Elephas maximus indicus: one gene and its partner. The protein of the gene in region 1 interacts with the protein of each later gene in a biochemical or structural test. Links are inferred from orthologs where the notes say so. Each region holds a gene or a part of one and is shown on either strand. Other genes may lie near its edges.

The links.
Region 2: the proteins of KPNB1 (region 1) and KPNA3 form a complex in vitro, tested with the Homo sapiens proteins (2 studies listed by BioGRID and IntAct, with this or other methods). The link is inferred for Elephas maximus indicus from reciprocal best matches to the Homo sapiens genes KPNB1 and KPNA3.

What each region holds. Positions count from the first base shown.
Region 1 is NC_064837.1:45,771,754-45,783,590, reverse strand, and holds the start of KPNB1 (importin subunit beta-1), read left to right. Parts: upstream 1-6,307; 5' UTR 6,308-6,671; coding exon 6,672-6,711; intron 6,712-6,816; coding exon 6,817-6,875; intron 6,876-9,408; coding exon 9,409-9,591; intron 9,592-11,837.
Region 2 is NC_064832.1:28,639,462-28,651,064, reverse strand, and holds the start of KPNA3 (importin subunit alpha-4), read right to left. Parts: upstream 5,945-11,603; 5' UTR 5,856-5,944; coding exon 5,787-5,855; intron 1-5,786. UniProt on the Homo sapiens protein: Functions in nuclear protein import as an adapter protein for nuclear receptor KPNB1. Binds specifically and directly to substrates containing either a simple or bipartite NLS motif.

The DNA of each region.
Region 1 (11,837 bases):
TGCTTTAAAGAGGTCTTCTGCAGATTTCCCTAATGCTGTGGTTGTCCTTAATTTCTGTGTACCTTTCAGTGTCTTCGTTTACGTTGCTCTCGTTGCGCTGACTTCCCCAGTATTGTGTATTGCCTCTCCCTTCATCAGAATTAACACGTGTCTACTATTACTATCTATTAAGTGATTCCGCCTCCCTCCCCTCCCATACCTGATAACCATCAAAGAATGTTGCTTTGTGTAAGCCTATTCTTGACTTTTATAAAAGTGGTATCATACAATATTTGTCCTTTTGTGATTGATTTATTTCACTTAGCATAATGTCCTCCAGGTTCATCCAAGGTATGTTTCGCAGACTCATCGTTATTCTTTATCGTTGAATAGTATTCCATTGTATGCATGTACCACATTTTGTTTACCTATTCATCTGCTGATAGACATGTAGGTTGTTTCCTTTTTTTTTTTTGCTATTGTTAATAATGCTGCAGTGAAAATGGGTGTACATATATTTGTGTCACTGCTCTTATTTCTCTAGGACATATAACTAGGAGTGGGATTGCTGGGTCATATGGTATTTCTACTTCTAGCTTTTTGAGGAAGTGCCACACCATTTTCCACAGTGGTTGAACCATTTTACAATCCCAGCTCCAATGAATAGGAACTCCAATCTCCCCACAACCTCGCCAGCGTTTGTTTTCTGTTTTTCTGATCAGTGCCATTTTTGCAGGAGTGAGATGGTACCTTATTGTAATTTTTATTTGCATCTCTCTAATGGCTAGGATTTCTACTTCTTAACTCTCGATACTTTTCCAAATGTCTACAGTGAGGAGCATGTATTACTTTGATAATTAGAGAAAGAACAAAGAAAGGAATTTAATGAGGATTGAGTAAATGAAAAGAGAAGCTGCTGAAGGTGTTTGGCTCAGGATCCAGCTCCTCGGCAGACAAGGGAGGGGGCAGGGTAGGGGTGGGGAAAGTCATTAAGTAATTGGTTCCACTTCCCTCCAAGTCTCTCAGAGGCCTCCCAAGTCAGGATTCAGGAAGATTTTACCTCTTTATTCTTGTCTGTTTTTCTTTCCCTTCCCTCTATCTCCCCAGTATTGCATCCCTTTCTGCTTTGGAAGGGATACAATTTAGAAATAAAATCACCATGTATTTTTAGAAGATTGATTATAGAAGATTTGCTGTGCCAGGTTCAATGGGGCCCTTGCCCTTGAGCTTACAAATCCTTCTTGAAACTTTCTCCTTACCCCTCTTAACTGATTTTTAAAACATTTTTTTCTAATAATAATAAAAAAAGTAGTATCTGTTAATTGGAGAAAATTTGGAATACACAAAGAAAAGAGTATAAAAAACTCAACTGTAATCCTACCATCCAGGGACAGCCATTATTAACACTTGGTTTATACTTTTCCAGTCTTTTTTCCTATTCACGGATACACAGATAGAACTCAAGCTCCTTTTCTTTGAACAAAATAGGATACTCTCCCCTAAGAGTATGGCACCGGACGCCCTTTCAACTCAGTACTGAAGTCACCCCTGAGGTTCACCCTTCAGCCAAAGGCTAGACAGGTCTATAGGAAAAACAATAACACACGTAGGAATGTGCTTTGTAGTTCAATCATGTATATGAGACTAATGGGCACACCAGCCCAAAAGCAAAGATGAGAAAGCAGGAAGGGTCATGAAAACTGGATGAATGGAAGCAGGGAACCCAGGGTGAAGGGGCGAATGTTGACACATCACAGTGTTGGCAACCAGTGTCACAAAACAATATGTGTATTGTTTAATGAGAAACTACTTTGCTCTGTAAACTTTTACCTGAAGCACAAAAAAAATTAAATTAAATTAAATTAAAAAAAGGAGAGGAAGAAAATTAACACTAACTAAGAATTAACCTTTAATTTTAAATTACCTCTGTATTTCGGCTAAGACTTTTGTTAAAACATCAAATGATTTTTTTTTAAATCAAGTAGCTAATTTAAAAACAAAAAACAGGCACTCTCTATGTATACTCTGCAAGAATTTTTATTGGGTTGGTATAAAAAAAAAATTTTTTTTTTTTTTTTTATACCTAAGGAGCCCTGGTGGCACAGTGGTTAAAGCATTCGGCTACTAACTGAAATGTTGGTTGTTCATATACCCACCAGCCACTCCATGGAAGATGTAGCTGTCTGCTTCCTTAAAGATTTACAGCCTTGAAAATCCTATGGGGCAGTTTTACTCTGTGCTATATAGGGTCGCTATGAGTTGGAATCGACTCGAAGGCAAAGGGCTTTTTTTGGGGGGGGGGTAGGATCACTATGTGTTGGAATCAAATTAACGGCAATGGGTTTAGCTTATACCTAGCCAAGTGTGTAAAATGTTGATGAATTTTTAACATATGAATCTACAATATTATGATGTTTTCTAAACAAGAGTGTGAACATTTTATACTTGATTAAATGACCTTTGACAGCATAATTTTTAACTGCTAACTAGAATTACAACAGTTGATCATAAGAATGTACCATAATTTATTTAATGAATCCACCATTGTTAGATATTTCAGTTGTTTTTAATTGTTAACTACTGTATTAGTTTACCCTGGTGGCGCACTGGTTAAGAGATTGGCTGTGAACCAAAAGGTCAGCAGTTCAAATCCACCTATGGAAATCCTATGGGGCAGTTCTACTCTGTCCTGTAGGGTCGCTATGAGTCAGAACTGACTTGACGGCAATGGGTTTGTTTTTTTGGTTTTGGTATTAGTTTTCTATCGCTGTTGTAATAGTTTACCATAACTTTAGCGACTTAAAGCAACACCAACTTGTAGTTCCGGAGGTCAGAAGTTTAATATGGATAGGTAGGGCTGAGTTCCTTCTGGAGGCTTTATGGGAGAATCTACTCCTTGCCTTTCCCTATTTTTAGAGGTTACCTGCATTCCTTGGCCACGCCTCACCCTGACCTCGGCTTCTGTCATCACAGAGCCTTCTCTGACTCGGACTCTCTTTTATGAGGACATTGGGTCCACCAGGATAATAAGTGATAATTTTACTATCCCGAGATGCTTGACTCAATCACATCTGCAAAGTCCCATTTGCCATGTAGATTAACATATTCCCAGGTTCCAGGGATTAGCACATGGACATCTTTGGGTGGTTCCAACAGTTAACATGCTCAGCTGCTACCTAAAATGTTGGTGGTTTGAGTCTACCTAATGGTGCCTTGGAAGAAAGGCCTGGTGATCTAATTCTGAAATATTGGCTATTGAAAACCTTATGGAGCACAGTTCTACTCTAGCACACAGGGGGGTCACCGTGAGTTGGAATTGACTCAACGGCTACTGGTTACTGGTAATTCAGACTACCCAGACCCAGTGCCGTTGAGTCGATTCCGACTCATAGTGACCCTATTCAGACTAGCACAACTAAAAATAATGCACTCTTCTATTTGTTTTCCTACCTCTTGCTGTTCTTTCTCCCTCTTATTCGTATTACCCACTAGTTTGGAACTCCATGTCCTCTCTTAAATATTTTGCTTTTCTCTCTCTCTTTATAGGATGTCAGGGTCTTAATGACCATTTCTGATCAACTGACTTATTTTTTCTTCCCCAAGCACCTGCCTTTCTTCCAAATCCCAATACAGTTTCCCTTGAATGTCCCTCTGTGACCATAAAGACAAACTATTTCTAAAACTGAATTCTTCAACCATCTCCCCCACCTTGACCCCAACCTCCTGCACCAACCTAGCTTCAATAAATGTTTTTACAATTATCCACTCTCCCAAACATTCAAGCTGGAGATCTAGGACTCACCTTTCATCCTTCCCTTTCCTCTGTATCTAATCAACCACTAAACCCCATCAATTCTATTGATTCAACATTTCTCTAATTGTTCCTCCTGGCCTTAGTTTGTGAGGAGCCCTGGTGGTGCAGTGGTTAAGGTGATTGACTGCTAACCAAAAGGTCAGCAGTTAGAAACCACCAGCGGCTCCAAGGGAGACAAATGGGGCAGTCTGTTTTGGTAGAGGTTTACTGTCTTAGAAACCCAATGGGTTAGACTATGAGCTGCAATCGACTTGACAGCAGTGGGCAGGGGCCCTAGTTCAGTCCCTTATCTATTACCTAATAACTGTTGCTATAGTGTAGTAGAAGCCTTTCTCCTAATCAAAACATACCACTTATTTCAAGGTAAGGGGGTATTATCCTGTCCTCGAGAAAGCCCTCTGTGACTGCCCCTCCCTGGGATACCATCTCCCCCTCCACAAGAAGTAATCCATAATGAAGTGCCCACTATGTGCTTGAGTTTTTCAGGCTGCATTATTTAATTTAATCTCTGCATTCCTTTAAGGTATTCTTTTAATGTTTAGACAAGGTAACTGAGAAGCTAATATGGGGTCGCTATGAGCCAAAATCGACTGGACAGCAACTAGCAACAACTTTAAAAATCAATGTGCCCTCAGTAGTATTATCATGACTAATGTTGAGCAGAGGAGCTGGCACAGAAAACTGCTGGAGAGCTGAAGAAAATTGGCTTGCAGTGAAACAAAATTATAGCTCATTCATAGTGTAACCCCAAAAACCCATTGCCAAAGAGTCGATTTCGACTCATGGCGACCCTATAGGACAGGGTAGAATTGTCCCGTTGGGTTTCTTAAGCTGTAATCTTTACAGAAGCAGACTGCCCCATCTTTCTCCCCTGGAGCGGCTGGTGGGCTCGAACTCAAGGACCTTTCAGTTAGCAGCCAAGTGCTTAACCACTGGAGCACCCAGGCTTCTTCATAGTGTAATTCACGTAAAGACAATTCAAAGATTTCCATGGATGTCATCTCACTTAACCTTCATTGATTTCTAATGAAGTTACGCAGGCCAGTTCTTTCTTAGTTAATAAAGTAAAAGGTTGGAAGTAGGTGGACTATTAAACCATAGGAATCAGCTAGCTACAGTATGCCTCATTTCCAGCTTCAGGATTGCAAAGGTATATCTAGCACAGAAAAATTTCTTCTTCCTCTTTTAAGGATCAAAGGCAGCTGGCCAAGCTTTCCTAATACTTGGTTGGGACCCCTCAGCATGAATAAGACTTCTGCCTAGGTTTTCCCAGTGTGGCTAGAAAAAAAAGGCTAGAGTAGAGAGCAAATACCTCACAAACTCCAAACAGCTACAGTTAACACTATCAGCAATACGGTGAAAAATGCAAAAGCTGAGCAATCTGTTAACTTGGGGCCCATTATCAATGGGAGGTGAAGTCAGGAAACCGCACGCAGTTTCTTTCTGTGCATTTTGCTAAGGAAAGACTTTCATTAGTTTCTCCCAATGTCCTAACTAAAAAAGGCTAAAAACCACAATCCTTTATGCCTGTTCACACATTCCTTCTGGTTCACGGTTGTGCCTTTATTGGGACACCTTTGGAGAATGATATACATTCCTATTCAGACTGGGTTCTAAGAAGAATCCAAGTGCCCACATCTATTGGAGTCAGGCCTTCTAACTGGACGTATTAGCATTCACCTTCTTGGGGAGGATGTTGCCGGCAGGGCCAAGGGCAGTTGGGAGTGCTAGAAAGCAGTCCGGACTAGGCCATTAACGGGCTGTGTGACCTTGGACAAGTTCCGTGCCCTCTCTGGTCCTCAGTTTCTACAATTGCAAATTGGAAATTGAACCAAATGGTCTCTTAAAATCCTCCCCAACAGAAAGCCTGGTACTAAATAGGCCTAGTTATTAAAGCAGCTTCCTGTGGACGCGGTACAGGGTTTTAACGGTCTCCCTCCCAGGCTCAGACCCGCCAAGTCCTAACTCAACACGCCCCTCGGAGTGACGGCGCTTTCCAAAACCGCAGCCCGAAGCGGCCCCAACACTGCTCCGCCCCTTCCCGGGGGCGTCCCATCGTGCCCCGCGCTAGGCCCCTAAAGCGGCCAGGGGCCTCCCGCCTTTCCGCGGAGTCGACCCCGAACACCTCTCTCCAGTTCTCCCGAGCACCCCAGTCTATCAACGTCTAGTGTCCTAGCCAATCACCCAGGCTCGGAGTCTTGCCTTTGACCCACCCTCCTCCTAGCGGTCAGCCAGTCTGAGCCCACGGCCTTTGCCAGGCCAATCCAATCAGCAGCCGGCTCAGACCTGCCCCACCCCAACCTCCCTTCCCTCGGCCAATCCGCATGCCCCATTCCGCTGCCCGCCCAGCCAACCCGGTCCTTGAAACCAGCGGGCGAATCGGCGCAAGGCGGCCCTTCAACGCTAACCGCCCGGCCAATTGGGGATTCCGCGTGGCCACAGCGGCAGCCAATCGACGTGGAGCGCGGTGCCGCGGCGGAGAGGTCCGGCCCGAATATCCCTCCGCCTCCCTCTCTCCCTCCCTCTCCCTCCCTGCGAGCCGCCGTTCACTTACTGCCTCCCTTCCTTCTTTCTCCCTCCGCCACCCGAGCACCAGCCGCGGTCTGAGCTGCCCCCGGGGTTCCTCCCCCACCGCCAGAAGAGCAGCTGCCGTCGCCGCGAGCCGCACATTAGAAGGGAGGAAGGAAGGAAAGAAGGAAGGAAGGAAAGGGGGCCTGAGTGACTAGCAAGTGGGAGCCGGTGAATGGGCTTGTGGTGACCCCCGCCCCCCACCCCACCCTCCCTTCCCACCCGACCCCCAACCCCCAACCCCAGTTAGAGTCGCCGCCCGAGAGGCCGGACCGTCGTCTTAGGAGGAGTCGGCGCCACCACCTTCGCGATGGAGCTGATCACTATCCTCGAGAAGACCGTATCTCCCGGTAGGACGCGGGGGCCGGGGGGTCGGGCCGAGGCGACTTGAAGTGGGGGAGGGGGAGGCCCTGCCCTTCTGACCCTGTCCCCTTTCCCACTTTCCTTCCCCCTAGATCGCCTGGAACTGGAAGCGGCGCAGAAGTTCCTGGAGCGTGCGGCCGTGGAGAACCTGGTGCGTGCCACCCTGCTCTCCCCCATCCCGCCGTCTTCCCATCTCCTGCGTCCGGGGCCTTCCCGCCCTCCCGGAGGCCCAGGCCTCGGGAACCTACCCCGCCCCATCCCGTCCCCCTCCCCCCGCACCCCGGTCCAACCTAACCCCGCCATCGGGAAGCCGGTGGGTGTGTCCCGCCCCAGGGCCCGGCGACTGGCCAATGGCGCAGCGCGCCGGGGTGACTGCCGCCCAATCGCCGCGCGGCCTGAGGGCGGCGGTGCGGCGGGAGGGAGAAAGAGGGAGGAAAGGGAAGTTAGGTTGCGCGGCGCTGCGTGTTCAGCAAGGGTGGGGGTGGGGGAGCCGGGCCTAGGGGCCATGTGGAAGCTCCGAGCCCAGCTGCCAGCCCTGTTCGGACCTGTGCTGGCTTCTCTTTCCTGTCCCGTGGCCTCTGGGGTTCTCTCCACTTACTTCCCAGAGCTCTGCCTTTTCCTAGCTCCCTTGGTCTGTGCTCATGGCTAGGGCTGGCACCCGAATGCCTCTTAACCCATTCCCGTTAATATTTCTTCCTAGTATACTCGGTTCTTCCTCTCCTGGGTTTTTTTTTTTTTTTTTTTTTCATTGATGAGCAGAGACTTAATCAGTAGGGATTTGCACCCAGACAACAGGCTGGAGCTTATCTTTGAGAAGATCGGGCCTATTTCCTGATGAAATCACAGAGGAAAGTTCCTCGTTTTTCATGTTTTCAAATTTAAAAGGCACAGAAAAAATGAAGATAAGCCCACTAGAGTATAAAGTCTGGCCTGCTGTATAAAAATGATTTCAACAGCCCATGTGCCAGTTAACGTTTCTCTGGTTTTCCTCTCCTGTTGTGGGAATGGGAGGGAGCATAGGGAAGGGTGGCTGATCCTTGACATCTTTTAAAGGTAATAAGCAATGTGTTGGTAACACTGTAACAAAATGTGTTCCTTTGAGTTTTCTAGGCAAAATAATGTAAGCAAAAAAAAAAAAGACAAGGCTTATTTTGTGCAGACTGCCAGTGGATGATGTATTTTGTTCTTATAATTGCTGGTTTTTATTTTTTTACTCTTATGTTTTTTTCTTTTTTTTTAATCTTTCCCCAGGAAAGGTTTTTTCTATTAGTATAGACTGATAACATTCCATAGGAATATATTCCTGTTTCTGCTTTTTATCTTATTTTAAAAATATTTTTTAGTGGTACAACATTTTAGTAAGACTTTTTTTTATTAATTGTGCTGTAAGTGAAAGTTTACAAATCAAGTCAGTCTCTAATATGAGAATTTAAATACACCTTGCTATATAGTCCTAATTGCTCTCCCCCTAATGAGACAGCACACTCCTTCCCCCCACTGTCTCTCTTCGTGTCCATTCGGCCAGCATCTGACCCCCTCTACCCTCTCATCTACCCTCCAGACAGGAGATGCCAACATAGTCTCACGTGACTACTTGATCCAGGAAGCTCATTCTTCACCAGTAGCATTTTCTATCCCATTGTCCAACATTAGTAAGACTTAAGAATATCTTCTGCCGTGACTAGAATTTCAGGTGCCAGGCAGTACTTGATAGTGGAAGAAACTGTCTGCTTTTGGCTTTTTCTGTAAACTTTTCCATTTGGACAGAGCTGCTTTTTTGGAGGGGAAGGGAGCGTGTATGTTAAAATTTTTAAACAAAGGGGGTAGCTTTTCCTAGGGGACCTGTGCATTACAAAAGATCGAGTGTGTCTTTCAGGGCTTCACTATGTTTAGTGCACAACTTAAGTCCAAAATGTAAAGCAGCTTTTATTTAATCTGTTAACTGTTAAATACAAAATCAGTTACCTTGGAACAACTTGCCTTGACTTTTCTTATCTTTTCCACTTAACCTTCTAAATATTTATGAATTCTTCCTTATAAATCTGCTTTTTCCACTGTTCCCCTTTCGCAGATGTAGCCTTATCCGCACTGTAACTAAAATATAGAGGATAGGCTTCTAAGTCTGTTTTAGGACTATTGATAAGTATTTCTCTTTCTTGTTCAAGATTTACTTTCACTAGTCCAAAAGCTACCCTTGGTATCTTTTTCTGACTGAGGTTTTTTTCTGACTGAGGATACTAAGTGACCTGGCCCAGTCAGCAGAGCTGGCCTGAATATTTGAAAATAGTTTTACTTTCTACCCTGTTACAACGTATTCATTCATTCAACAAATATTTATTGACTATCAGGCACTGGTGTAGATGTTTGGGATATTTCAATTGACGTGGAAGAATCCGTTGGCTACCAGATTGCCAGATTTGATTTAGTTCTGGAGATTTAATGTAAAGATTTGGCCATTAAGAAAGGTTTGCTAGGAAAATCTACAACTTCTTGTAAGTACTGTTTGACATTTCATGAGAAGATGGGTGACTTTAATAGGTACATTTTGGGGAATTATCTGAGACATTTATGATTTGCTCAAAAAAAAAAAAAAACAACTTTTCTCAGTGGTGTGGTGCTCATAAGCTATGCTCAGTTGGTGAAATTCTCGAGATGTTTTTATTTGTATATGCATCTCTTAACAGCCCACTTTCCTTGTGGAACTGTCCAGAGTGCTGGCAAATCCAGGAAACAGTCAGGTTGCCAGAGTTGCAGCTGGTCTACAAATCAAGAACTCTTTGACATCTAAGGATCCAGACATCAAGGCACAATATCAGCAGAGATGGCTGGCTATTGATGCTAACGCGCGAAGGGAAGTCAAGAACTATGTAAGTAACGTTCGTCTCCTTTTGGTCATATTCCCTAGGGAACAAGAAACATCTGTCAGCTCTTTTGTCATTTGCATGGAATAGAGCTGACGGTGTGATAGGTTTCTGAGATGTAAACTTGATTTGAAGATAAAAGCTGTATTTGATTTAAATCTTTGTCAGTTCAGCTTGTCCATTCCCATTGATAGATTGCGATCCCCCGCTCCCCCCGCCCCCATAACTTGAGGTGGACTGCAACACTTGGGGAAACTTTAATTAGTTGCCAGAACTGATAATGAAAGGAGTTTATAGAATCTCTTTGGTGAATTGGAGATAAAAATTGGTTTTACCAAACTTGAAGCGATGAGAATCACATAGAGAATTTATTAATGATACGTTCGTCCAGGCTCCCCCCAGAGCTTCTGAGTTGGTAGGTCTGGTGTGAGGCCCAGGAATATTTTTAAAACTGTCTTCCCAAGTGATTCTTCCACAGTTCAAGCGGCACCTAGCTTTTGGTGAACTGCTGTGAGTAATCCTCTTTCTCTGATGGTTTATGCATAGTACTCTGGAGCCAGAGGGCAATTAAATTATCTCTTGGCCCTTTCAAGGCCACAGAGTTTGCAAAATATTATTATGGCCGTTAAAGATGCTTTTATTTATTTGCAAATTATGAAAAACTTTCTTTAGAAACACCTGCCTCTTTCAAGGCATTGGAAAACTGAAATGATGAATTTTCCCAATATTTGAGGAAAGTCGAATGTCCCTTATTGCTTTGCATCATGGAGTTCTTGTGACTTGAGATAAAAATGCATGATTGAAGATGAAACAAAGGATTTGGAGTATACGAACAGATGTGCTCCTTTTTTTTTTTTTTAATTAGCGAGGTTCTTTAGTGGCTTGTATTACAGGGATAAAAGGCACAAGGGTGAGTCAGTTTAGCATCTGTGCAGTCATCAGTTGGTCTTTGGTTTTTGAGGGGAAACCATTAGGGGATTCCTATGTGTGTGTATGTGCAGGTCAAGGTTATGCACCTTACTTGCCATTTCCTTGTTGTGTCAGCATTAGGTAAATTAGTGATCCTTAAGACAGCAAATCTTTCTTTCTAGTTACGTACCTCCTTCCTTTTTCAGTCTTGCATGGAGGGGCCCACGACAGGGAACTAGGTTATGAAAGCGAGCTTATTTTGAATCTTTCTTGGAATACGTGAAGCTCTTTCTATCTACGTAGCGTCTTACGTAATAACGTTTTGATACCCCTTCTCCTCAGCAATTTGACATAAATGAAATTTATTCCATTATCTTGATGGTTATCGTGCCCGTTTGATTTCTCATTTCCTCTTGAATTACATAATAATAAGACAAAATGGGAATGGTAATTGACTTTTTTTGGCACATCAGTCTTAGCACCAAAATATTTTTTAAAATTTGGATCACAATTTATATAGGCATGGTTCAGTCTTCGTGCGTGAAAAAAACTTGACAGTCATCTTGGCCTTTTCTCCTTTTTCATAACATATCCAGTAGTATTATTTCTCAGTGCTGGTGGTCATTTCTTTTTTGAAATCTGGACTTTGGGACATATTTGATTGCTGGTTTCTTACTCCACTTATTTCTGGTAATTGGGTATTATCAGGCCCACGACTGGTTTAAAAAAAAGTTCAGTTCTCAGGAGTTGAACTCTGTAGTTTCTAAATCATCTCAAGTAATACTAAGGATTTTCTAGAATCAATTTAAAGAAGAAAAGGTAAACGTAGAATGGGATTCAAATATTAATATAAAGGCGCCCTGGACCGGGACTATTAAGTTAGACCAAGGTTAATACCTGTTCAGGCGTTGCCATTTTGGACAGTTGACCTCATGTTTTTGACATACAGTTTTTGTTAAAGTCCATTCTAGCTCTGCTAGTCCTGGAGAGCAAAACAAAACCTTCATTTAGAATCAGTCAGAGCCATTTGTTATTGGGCAGAGCTGGTAGAGTTTGGCAGGGACGATAACATACTGTATAAGGGGGAAAGATGTTGAGTTCATTATTAGCCTCTAGCTACAAAGCAGGATACTAAGTGACCTGGCCCAGTCAGCAGAGCTGGCCTGAATATTTGGCAGCTACTCTTTGTCCTGTGTCTATGCCACAGTTAACTGCTTGCCTTTTGAGTGGACTGATGATTCTTAGTGAGTTCATTTGACTGAATTAGCTGATCATGGTAATGATTAACCCTGGGTCAGTTGTGGCTTCATCCTTCATTTGTACCTGTGCCTTTACTCTTTGTA
Region 2 (11,603 bases), on another chromosome or scaffold:
GTTTCAGCCACTGTACTAAGTAGCAGACAGTAGCAACAGTCATTCCTTCCAAGAGCTTGCAATCTTGTAGGAGAAACAGACAAAACATAATTAAAATACACCCTCACAACTACAATGAGAAAGGCATACTCAGAGTTCTTCTAGCAGCAAAGAAGGGTACCTAACGCCATCTCGGAGGACAAGGGGGACTCAGAAAGACTTCTCAGAAAAACTAACGCCAGAATTGAGAACTTAAAAGGGGTAGGAATTAGTCAGGCAACAGGAGGCAGGGAAGGATATTCCAGTCAGCAGGACAGCCCTGAGAATAGAAACAGCACTGGCTGGGACCGGAGGGAGGATTCCAGATTATATATAACGTATAAGAAGTTCAAGGTTGCTAGAGCTTATGGGGATGGGGGTGGGAGGGAGAGGAGAAGGAGAACACTGTAGCTGGAGAAATAAACAGGCATCAGACTCAGACAAAACCTCATGAATTGGATGAAGACCACCACTTTGGAGATAATTTTTAAACAGCCAGGTGATAGGTAATGAGGCCTAACGGAGGCTGGAAGCAGTGGAATTGAGAGGTAGGGTCAGATTCCAGAGAGGGCAGAGATTCAAGCTCCATGATCGGCATCTGACCGAATGTGGAAGATGAGGAAGGAGTCCAAAAAGCCTCTCAAGTTTCAAGTTCAGGTCACAGTGAGGGTGATGATGCCATAAGCAGAAATAAGGAAACAAAGGCAGAACATGGTTTTAAACACTTGGAGCTTAAGAAGCTGATGGGATGCTCATGTGAATAATTTCAGGAGATGATTAAAAGACATTTAAGTCCCCAACACTGAGGTGATGGTTAGAGCTGAGAGAGCTGTTGATGTGAGCAAGAAAACCAGCCTAGAGAGAAGCGCATCCCATACAGAGTAAGACATGGCTGCACTCAGCCGGGAGGGACAGGAGGTAGCAAAGCAGACTAAGAAAGAGCATTCAGTATAGTAGAAGGACCAGAACAGAGTCTATGCCCTCCCAGTGAAAAGATAATTATAGTGTGTCTGCTATATGACAAAGAGATTCCTGAAAAACTTCATGTTCTGGAAAATTAGGGAGAAAGGGACATGCACAAAGATGGTTTGAGCAATAAGCACCTTTAAAACACAGCACATGGCTAAATTAAGCCAAGAGGCAGAATGTGAGGTGACCAGGCAACAGGCACGCTCCTGGGCTTGCTGCACTCAGCTGTGTTTCTGTATTTTGTGTACAACCGCTGTTACATGGGAGCGCTAAACATCAATGCGCTGGTAAAAGTCAAATAACGAACCACTATAGATTTTGCATTAACATCATTCCTCTATTTGCCGTTCAAGTACAAGTTAGTTTGTGTTACTGAAATACATTACAGCAGAGCAGGCTGCCAGAGAAGGGCTAGGCAACAGTATCAATACCATGGAGTCAAAACCAAAAGAAATTACTAATATCTCAGAATAATACCATACCTATTATTCCCAAAATGTCCAGTGTTTAGTCTCTCTTCTCAAAGAACATTTATGAAATTTTATGTACTGGGCACTAAATGACCAACCACAGCCCAAAGCCTCTGCCCTCAGTGGGCTTCTTGACAGAGCCCACATACTTTAATAGCTAGCCACATACATAATTTGTGGCACATTCCAGCAAATCATCCAAATAGGTGAAGGAAAATTCACTTAGGAAAGCATTAGAGGGAAAGGAGAAAAAGAATAAGCACTGATGATACCAAGTATGTTATTAGTCAGGAAAGGCCTTGTAGAGAACTTCTGAAGGTCTTTTTTTTTTTAAAAAAAACAGAATGGCATTGTGTAACAGAATTGTAAACTTAGTATTCCAGAAATTCGTGAAGGAGTCTGAGCGAAGAAAGATTTTGCCAAGGTAAGAACAATTCAACATATAGCCAAAGAAGGCATATAGAATAGCTTGTACACACACACACACACACAAAAGAAGAGCATATACAAAGGCATGGAGATGAAATCTACTGGTTACTCCACCATCCTGAACATTTTATCATGGCAGGCACAAAAGAGATATAAGGAAAAGTGGCAGATGAGGTAAAAAAAAAAAAAAAAAAAAAAAGGTAGGGCCTTATGTGGCACTTATATTAACTACTGTAACTGATGAAAATGTTGTCACATCCTTGAGGTATACAGGAGCAAGAAAAAGAAAAATTGACCTGAGTGACAGTTACCTAGGTGTTTATAAGCACTCACTGGACAGAACTTTCCTATACTCATGTTTGAAGATTTTTAAATACTTCTTTAAAATGTGAGAAAATAAGAATCAATGCCTTATGTGAAAAGGTCTAGTATTGAAGCACACATTCCAGCCTAAATAAAAGTAATTAAGAGTTTCCCTTTCATTGTGTATTTCCTAGTTTTACCTACAAATTCCATTCCCCTACTCAAGCTCCCAATTGCTATCAGTGATAATTATTCCCTCCCCATCTCTATCTAAAAACCTTAGGAAAATCTTTAACCACTTCCTCTCTGTGAGCTTTGCACTTAAACACAAATCAAAAAAGAAAAGAAGAAAATCCCAACCTCATTCCAGACTACGTCCAACTCATTTTTAGAAAATTCCTCCTTGCAGACTGGATCACAACACTACTCCTCCAGAACGAATTGAAGACGTTACTGTCAGTCACCCTTTCCACTGCTCTAATCATGTTACAGCTTCTAACTCTGCTCTGAGATAAATAAATCTTCCTATCAAGAAAAGGCTTCCAACCAACTCTTTGTCACAAGGCATATTCTCAGACCACCACAGGACATTTGCAAATCTTATCTCTTCACTCCCTAATCTCTTTTTTCACCTAGATTTTTAGTCACTAACTTCTCACGAGCACCTTTCAAGTCCTTTAAGATTTACCAACCTTGCTTTTTTTCCTCTCCAAGGATCTCTTAAAATCTTTCTATGAAGCCATTCTTGACTGAATGACTATGAAATGATTTCCTCCTCCACCCTCTCCCCACCCACAATGTCCTGACACAATTCTACACTTTTCTTTAGAAAATATTTATCCCTGCACTTAGCATCTTATTTGTATATCAGCTGGTTGCATAGTTTATAATATGTCTGATCTTTTGTCCATCCTCTTTATGAGAAGGTAGGAATATCTCATCAAAGTGCATCTCCTGTTTGGGAACAGCCTGATAATCACCAACTACTTAGTCACAGAGCTAAGTTGTAGTACAAGTTTCTAAAGGCAAAGACTAAATTACATTGGCGGGCAGGGGTCTAGTCTTAATTATGCCTAAATCCACAATAACGGCATTTGATCAGATTTGACCCCAAACCATCTTTAATCACATCTCTGGCACTCCCTTTTCTCTCAGAGACACAGCAGTCTTGCTACCTTCTCTCAGAACTCTTCCATTACTGTACCCTCATTCTGGACTGTGTCTTCCTTCCCCTCCCCCTCCTCCAGCCCTTGGCCTGGAGGTCTTTTCCTTCATCCTTCTCACTCCCATTCATGCATTAAGAATCCACGGGAACATCTCCCCTGACCCTCAGCTCCAAGTTAGGGTCTTCTCATGCATTCTCAGAGTACCTATACCATAACCCTGGTGGAGATACTGCACTGTAATCATCAGTTTACTCTTCTATCACCCGCACTAGACTGTCAGCTCCTGGAAGGCACACACTGAATTATATTTACTTTTCTATCCCCAAGACCTAATATTGCGTTGGCTGGGCACACTCTTAAGACACCCAATAGAAAGTCAGTGAATGAACACTCATACCCACTGCGTGACCTTGTGTAGGCTACATAACCACCCTGAACTTCCTCATCTAAAATACTCTCCTCAGGTAGTGGGGATAATGCTATACCTGGCTTATAACACCATTAAATGAGATATCACGAAGCTCTCAGTATAGCGTCTGCCACGTACAACTACCATCTGAATATCTGCTATTTCAGGCCCTTAGGTATTCTAATGTATCCTGGAAGTGTGATGCTGGTGTAATTAATATTTTCAAGGAACCATGCTGTCTTTTTCAGGCATCCAAAAGTCACTGGTCACCTTCTGATCAGCAGCAAATACTTCTGTGTACCTATTACGTTCAGGAGTCCTTAATAAGTATCACTGCACTCCTGGAACATAGAACAGGGGCAGACAAAAACCTGTACCAATAACCAAGAAAAGCAAGAAAGAATGTTATTAGTTCTTCTGTACAAAAGGTATTTTTTAAGGCTACACAAGCTTTGCTTTACAGTAGTGGTAGCTTCAAGAAAACTACTGATGGAGAAAGTTAAAACTTAACTCCTATCATCAAGTGAACCAATTGCAGGAGATAGTTCCAAAATTTCCTCTTGCTATTTCTAAATTTCACTTTCACTTAGATGTATTTCTCACAAAGGAAATTTTAACCAAGACCAGGACAGAGAGAGATGACCTTTATTTGTCTCATTCAAATGGGAATTCCACAGATATTTCCCTAGGGTTTTTTCCAGTTAGTATTTAACTCTGCACCTCTGAAAAATGGCCTGAGTTTCGTCTGTTCCTCTACAAAAAAACACTGAATAGTATCTTTTCCCCACCACCTTCCCTCTTTAAGACGGGACAAAACACGCACTTCTTAATCGCACTGGCCCCTTGGGAACAATCACAGAGCGGCAATTCATGCCACCTCGAATTACAAAAGGAGGCTGTGGACTTAAAAACATTCTCCCCCTAACAAATCCGGAGGTCAGAGTCCCAGTGAAGTTTGTGCATTATACTTCACAGCTATTAGTAGCTGCAGAGAGACCTCTAGCGCTGCCTTGATAAGCCCGATTTGCAAATAGTACCTGCTAATGTCACCTCAACGAGACAATGGCAACAAGCTGAGTAGCAACAAACTGAGCGACCGCGATGAATGTTTACAGTTTTGTAACCACTTGGAAACCCTACCAGCTTGGACCAAGAGGTATACAAGGTCGAATGAACCTATGTATTCAATTTATTTCAGTAAAACACTGCAAAGAAATCACCCGATGCACACCCTACTCCAAGAAACGCTAGGAAAACAGGTCCTACAAGCGGAGGTGAGAAAAACCTCTCCTCCAAAGCCTCGACACAATAGATGGTAAACTACTGTCCACCTCCTGTATGCTCCAAATGCCAGAAGGAACAGAATAGGGGCTGGAAAAGCACAGCACGACTGGCCCAAAGGACAGCACTGGAATACATGAAAATGGTCCTGGCGCATCCTACCCTCCCCCACCCACCACCCTCAAACAAGTCAGTTACCCGGCTGGTCCCCACCCCCCTCTGCGGGCCGCCGCCGCCCGCCTGGGCCCGGCTCTCCAAGGTAGGCGAGGGGACCGGCAGAGCCGCGGCTCCATGTGCGGCAGCGCGGGAGGCACCGGGAGGCTGCGCCGAGCGGAGGTGAGCGGCAGTGGGCGCCAGCCGCGGCCGCCCCTCGGCGATGCGGGTCCCGGCCCGGGCCGCAGCATCGCCGTCCGCGCGGCCCCAGCCCGCGGACCCCGCCTCAGCTCCACATCCCTTCCTCGCCGACACCAGGCCGCGCCCGCGTGACGGGGCCGAAAGCCCCGGCATTTCCCTGTCGCCGCGCCGGCAGCTCCGGAGGGCGGCTGCAGCCCGGCCCTCGCCCCGCCGCCCGCTTTGCCCAGCCCCGGGCCCCGGTGACGGGAGGCGGCGGCCAACTCCGACCGACCGCGAGCCGGCGAGAACCAGCCCGGCGCCCGCCCCCCGCCCCTCCCGCCGCCGCCGGGCTGGCGCGGCCGGGCGGGCGGGCGAGCCGCGAGGCCCAGACCGCGGAAGCACACTCACTTCCACATCGCGGCCCTTGTTCTTGAAGCTCTTGATGCGGTGGTTCTCCAAGCCGGGGTTCTCGGCCATGGCTGCGCGCGGCTCCGTGGGCGGCTACTCCTGCGGCTGCGGCGGCGGCGGCGGCGAGAGTCGGCGCGGGAGGGGGAGGTGGGGGAGAGTGGGAGGGAGGGAGGGGGAGGGGGAGAGGAGAGCACGTTCCGTGACGCCTCCTAGCGCGAGGTGGCGGCAGCGCCGGAGGAGGCGCGGCCGACGGCCAGGCGGGGCGTGGCGGGAACGGCTCCGGGGAGCGGCGTGCGCCGGGGGAGGCTGGGGACACGTGACTGAGAGCAGGGACCCGCCTGGACGCTCGCCCGGCTGGATGTGTCCGGTTGGTTCTTGGGATGACCCCAGCCCCTTGGGAAGGCCTCCCCCATAACCCCTCGGGGCTGCAAATTATCTGCCAGAAATGGAGCCGGATTCAGCGGCTTTTACCAATCCCCAGACGAGAGCGGCGGGCGGAAACTACAGTTCCCAGCATGCCAGGCTCCGGCCGGGGGTAACTCTCCAGCCCTGTGAGAGAACGAGGAGAATGCCGGGATTCCTGCGCTCTAGGGCTCTCGGCGGGGCGGCCGAGTGCCGAGGAGCGAAGCCCCGCCCCCAATACCGCCTCTGGGCGGGGCAGAGGGAGGTGCTTCCCTGGAGATGCACCTTGCGCCCTATTGGGAGGGAGAGGGGGCGGGGCGTCATGGAAGGCACACTTCGCCCTCTGTAGCCTGGAAAATTAGAGAAGAACCATGGTGCGTTCTTTGCTCGCCCACTTCTTTGGGTCCCCTGAAATAGCAGCCACCCTCATTCGCTGTTCCCTTGCTCTGCTTTGGTTTTATAAATAGAATTTATTTCCACCTGACACGTACATTAGTCTGCATGTGATATGTGGGTCCATGTGTATGTTACCTGACTTCTTGTGCCCGGATTAAACTCGATGAGTGCAGGGATTTTAATTTATTACTGAATCCCTCACGTCAAAACAGTGCCTAGCACGTCGAAGGTACCCAGTAAATGCTCGTTGAACAAATTATACCGCTTTCGCAACTTGCTGTTTCTTCATCATCCTCCCAGGCCCGATTCTACAACACCCACTCTGCTGCAGTTCTCACACCTCTTTTTCCGCGGTCTCCACACATAACCTCAGTCTTCAAGCAGCAGTCAATCTCCAGTCTGCTGACTCTCCATTCTAGCATCTCCCCGTAGCGTCATCTGAGAAATAATCGAGGGAAATTTGGATCAATAACACTAATAGAGAGCTGCTTTCTGGAGCCGATGGGCTTGTGAGATAATTCCATTTCCGAATCTATGCCACATATAAGTAGGCATGCCATGTTATAGTACATGTAATTCAAATAAACTGAGATCATTCAAAGGTTGGTAGAAATATAACCATGGAGAGATTAACGGATGAAGACAATCTTTTAAAACAAACCCCTGCCTTCACCTCGATTCTGACTCATAGCGACCCTATAAAGACAAAGTAGAACTGCCCCATGGAGCTTCCAGGGAGAGCCTGGTGGATTCAAACTGCTGACCTTCTGGTTAGCAGCCGTAGCTCTTAACCACTATGCCACCGAAGGAACCTTAAAGAGTTAGAGGTGCAGGGGTCATAAACTCAGAGGCCTTCAGTGGCCAGGCAGAGAGCCAAGTGGAGCTGGCCACGCTGTCCAGGGGCATTCTTTTGGTGAGGGTGACATGTGGCCTCTTGATAAACACAGGCCCTTTAAGGCTCCAGACCACTGTTGCCATATTGGAATGTGGCCGAGGGTTGCCAGAGTTACAAATTTTCAAGGGAAACCAAAACCTGAATTTTTTTTCTTAAATCTTTTTTAAATGTTGACTCATATTTTCAATGCTCTTCAGCGGTCCAGGCACTTTGGAACTTGACCCCCAGCTTGCAATACCTGATCCTAGTCCAATACTCATTTGAAAGAAAAAAACAAAAGTCTGAGAATAGATTACTTCAACTCTGGTTCTTAAGGAGACAGAGGTTGCATGTTTGCCACTCTCCCTGATTCACTGAGAAGGAAGGGAGAGAGGTTTCTAGACTGTTGTTCAATCTCTATTCTACTTTAGCAAAGGGTTCTCTATTCAGTTCACCTTATCCCCTTCTGGAGACCCTGGTGGTGTAGTGGTTAAGAACTACAGCTGCTAACCAAAAGGTTGGCAGTTCGAATCCACCAGGCACTCCTTGGAAGCCCTATGGGGCAGTTCTCTGTACTGTAGGGTCACTATGAGTCGGAATCAACTAGACGGCAGCAGGTTTGGTTTTGGTTTATCATCTCTTTACCCTATCTGCTGTCATCAAATGTGTACATCTTTCATCACTCAGTTTAGTCTGTGGCACGCTTAATGAGTGCTTACTATGTGTCAGCCATTGTACTAGCAGTAGGATGCTTTGTAAACAGGATAGCCTGGTTCCTGCCTCCACACAGATTCACATCTATCAGAGAAGACAGAAAATGAAATAAGTAATCACCCAAAAAGTATGGATGTTAAGAAAGGAGAAGAAAGCTCAAGGCTCATAGCAGGGAGACCTTTATAACCTGCCAACTCTTGACTCTTAACATTTGAGGAACTTAGTGCAAATGGAAGTCCGCATAGCATATGTCTGAATATTTAAAAGTTATAAATCAAGCACACAACCTTGAATAAAATACATCCTAGCCTCCTACATTCACAAATGCACCTCTTTAACAACCTGGAAGTCTGGGTTCACATTTAAATTTCTTGACTTCTTGGAATTCTGCTTCAGAATGTGGCAGCTCAAAGAGGGCAGGACCCCAGCCCAGCCCACAGCCCACTTTCTGTTCCCCTTCTTTCCCATATCCTGGTTCTGTCCCCCTCTGGAACAGACTTTAAGAATATGTGTGCATACCCCTGCACATAACATTCAAGTTCTGCCCACGCACCCCCAAAGCTGTCAGCATCCCCCTACTCCCTGAAGAGGTGGCCCTTGCCATTGGTCAGGCCTCAGTCAGTTGCCATCAAGTCAGCTCTGACTCATGGTAACCCCATGTGTGTAAGAGTGGAACTGTGCTCCATAGGGTTTTCTGATTTTCAGAAGCAGATCGCCAAGTCCTTTTTCCAAGGTGCCTCTGGGTGGACTCGAACCTCCAGCCTGTCGGTGAGCAGATAAGCATGTTAACCATTTGCACCACCCAGGGACTGCTCAGCCTAGAGAGAACAAAGCAGTGGCATGACATGCCCCCTGGAGGATGGACCCAGGGAAGAGACTTGAGAAGACCTGGAAGCAGACTTAATGCCATTTCGACAGGGAATCCCATGGTGTAGAGACATAGGTGCCAGTCCCCCCTACCAACCTACCAAGTCCCTTCCCTTTTCCTACTCCCCTGCCTCTTAATACAGGTTCCTGATGAATATGATGCTAGTTATGTGGTGAATACTCAAAATATATTTGGAAAATAAATCCATGTAAAAGAAGAGCTTTCAGGAGAAATTCCAGGGCAAGGGCAAAGGCCAGTGAGCAAAGAGGATATAATCAGCAATTAAGCCAAAAAACCAAACCCGTTGCCATCAAGTCAATTCTGACTCATAGTGACCCTATGGGACAGAGTAGAGCTGTCCCACAGGGTTTCCAAGAAGCAGCTGTTGGATTCAAATTGCCAACCTTTTGGTTATCAGCCACAACACTTAACCACTATGCCACCAGGGCTCCAATTAGCAATTAGAAGCACAAAATTTGAGTCACTGGAGATGGTTATTTCCTAGAGGTTAAGGGCTCCAAGGTCTGGTGGGCACTATATGAGGTAGACACTTGGTGTAGTTAAGGCTGTGGAGAAACTCTCTGGCCAGGGTACCAGGTTTGCGGATGCTGAAGTTACCAGGGATAATGGCAAGGAATAAAGATGACAAGGTTAGATCTGGGCAAGGGGCCTCCCTTTAGAGAACCTCACTCTTGCTCCCTCTGGCTGCACTCTCCCCGTAAGGAAAGGAGTCCTTGGGGCCAAAGGGTCCTGCTCACTAGAACCTGTGCCTCCAGACCAGGAAGGAGGGTTCTCAGCCTGGTGGTCAGGCTACCCTGTCTTCACCCTCTGACTCACTGTTTACCTTGCCAAGGCGTTGGGAGTCATGCTAGGGGGCAGCTGGGTGCCAATACTCAACAGGAAACACACACACAACAAAAAGGAGTTCATAATTTTTCTACTAAGCTACCTTTTCTCTGCAAATTCCCTATGTTAACAGCGTAACCACTCCCGTAGAGACTCCACTGAGAGCTAAGAACCAGCTTTGCTTCCTACCTTCACTGTAAATTCACCCTTCGGTGTCTCTCCTTCCCACACCACCCACGAGACTATCATGTTGTTTTTGTTAGTTGCTGTGGAGTTGATTCTGGTGACCTCACAGGTGCAGAGTAGAACTGCTTCACAGGGTTTTCATGGCTATGACCTTTCAGAAGCAGATCACCAGACCTTTCTTCTGAGGTGCCTCTGGATAGGCTTAAACCTCCAGCCTTTCAGCAGGTAGTCGAGCTCTTTGCTGTTTGCGCCATCGAGACTACCTTAACCAAAAAAGAAAACAAAAACCAAAGCCCATAGCCATCGAGTAAGACTAGCATAACACCTCCTAACTGGTCTCCCTGCCTCCTCCATCCTCCCTGCAACAAGCTGACTCCCTTCCCCAGACTTCCTGGCTTCACCTCTACTCTGTGATCAGGACACCCCCTCTCTCCACCATTATCTCCCAAACCATTTATAAACTCCTCAGTCTGGTGGTTAAGATCATATGTGATTTGGCCCCGTTACAGAACACCTTTCCTAGTTCTGGCTTCCCTGCACATAGCTGATGTTTCAGCTAACATGTTCTACTCACCCTGTCCCAAATATGCCTTGACCTTTCCAGCATTGACATCTTTTCTGTTCAGTTTTCCTAGAAGGCCCTGCCCTCATCTCTGTCTGTCAAAATCGACCCCTCTTTAAATGCCCAGCTGAAGTGGTCACCTCCTCCGTGAAGCTTTCCCAGAATGGTGTAGTGGTGAGAACTCAAGAATCTGAAAACTCAGGCTCTAGTGCTGACTTCCTAACAGACCAAACCCAGGCAGCCCACTTATCTTCCCTGAATCCTCTTCTCATCTCCAAAAGAGGATTCTGTATCGTGGGAATTTTGTGAGAGTCAAACTCTAAAATGCGCTTGCAAGCACTTTAAATTACTTTAAGGTCATCTCATTTTATACTACTGAAGTGATGGGACCGGGACACGTGCATTACTTCTACACCATAATTTTCCAATAATTAGACTATAATAAACATTATGTTAATTACTAAAATACTTGTTACCCTACTACAAAAGTACTTTAAACTTAGTACTTTAAAGTACTAAAAATACTAATGTATTATTTTTTATAGTAACAACTATTGATAGTTGCTACTATTTTTCCAACCAGGAGTGGTATCTTTTCTCTATGAATCTCCGAAGGACTTTTCTAGGAAAACTGACGCTACACAAATTGCAGCAACACACTGTTTTGTGTTGCTGCAATGTGTGTAGCATCTTTTTTCTTTTGCTTACCTATAAACCCTTAAAATGGCTTGTACGTATTTGTGTTTTCCCAAGAATAATTGGATCTCAATGCATGTTTGTTGAATGAATAAATGGACTAATGAATAAATGTATGAACTCTCTCCTTCCCTCACGATCACCTTTTGGCTACTTTACTACTCTCTAAGAGCACCTGAAACAAAGCAAATACAGAAAACCGAAGGAAATAACATTCAAATCAATCAATCCAACTGTTGTTAGCTGCCGTCCAGTCAAGGTGGCCCCCAACTC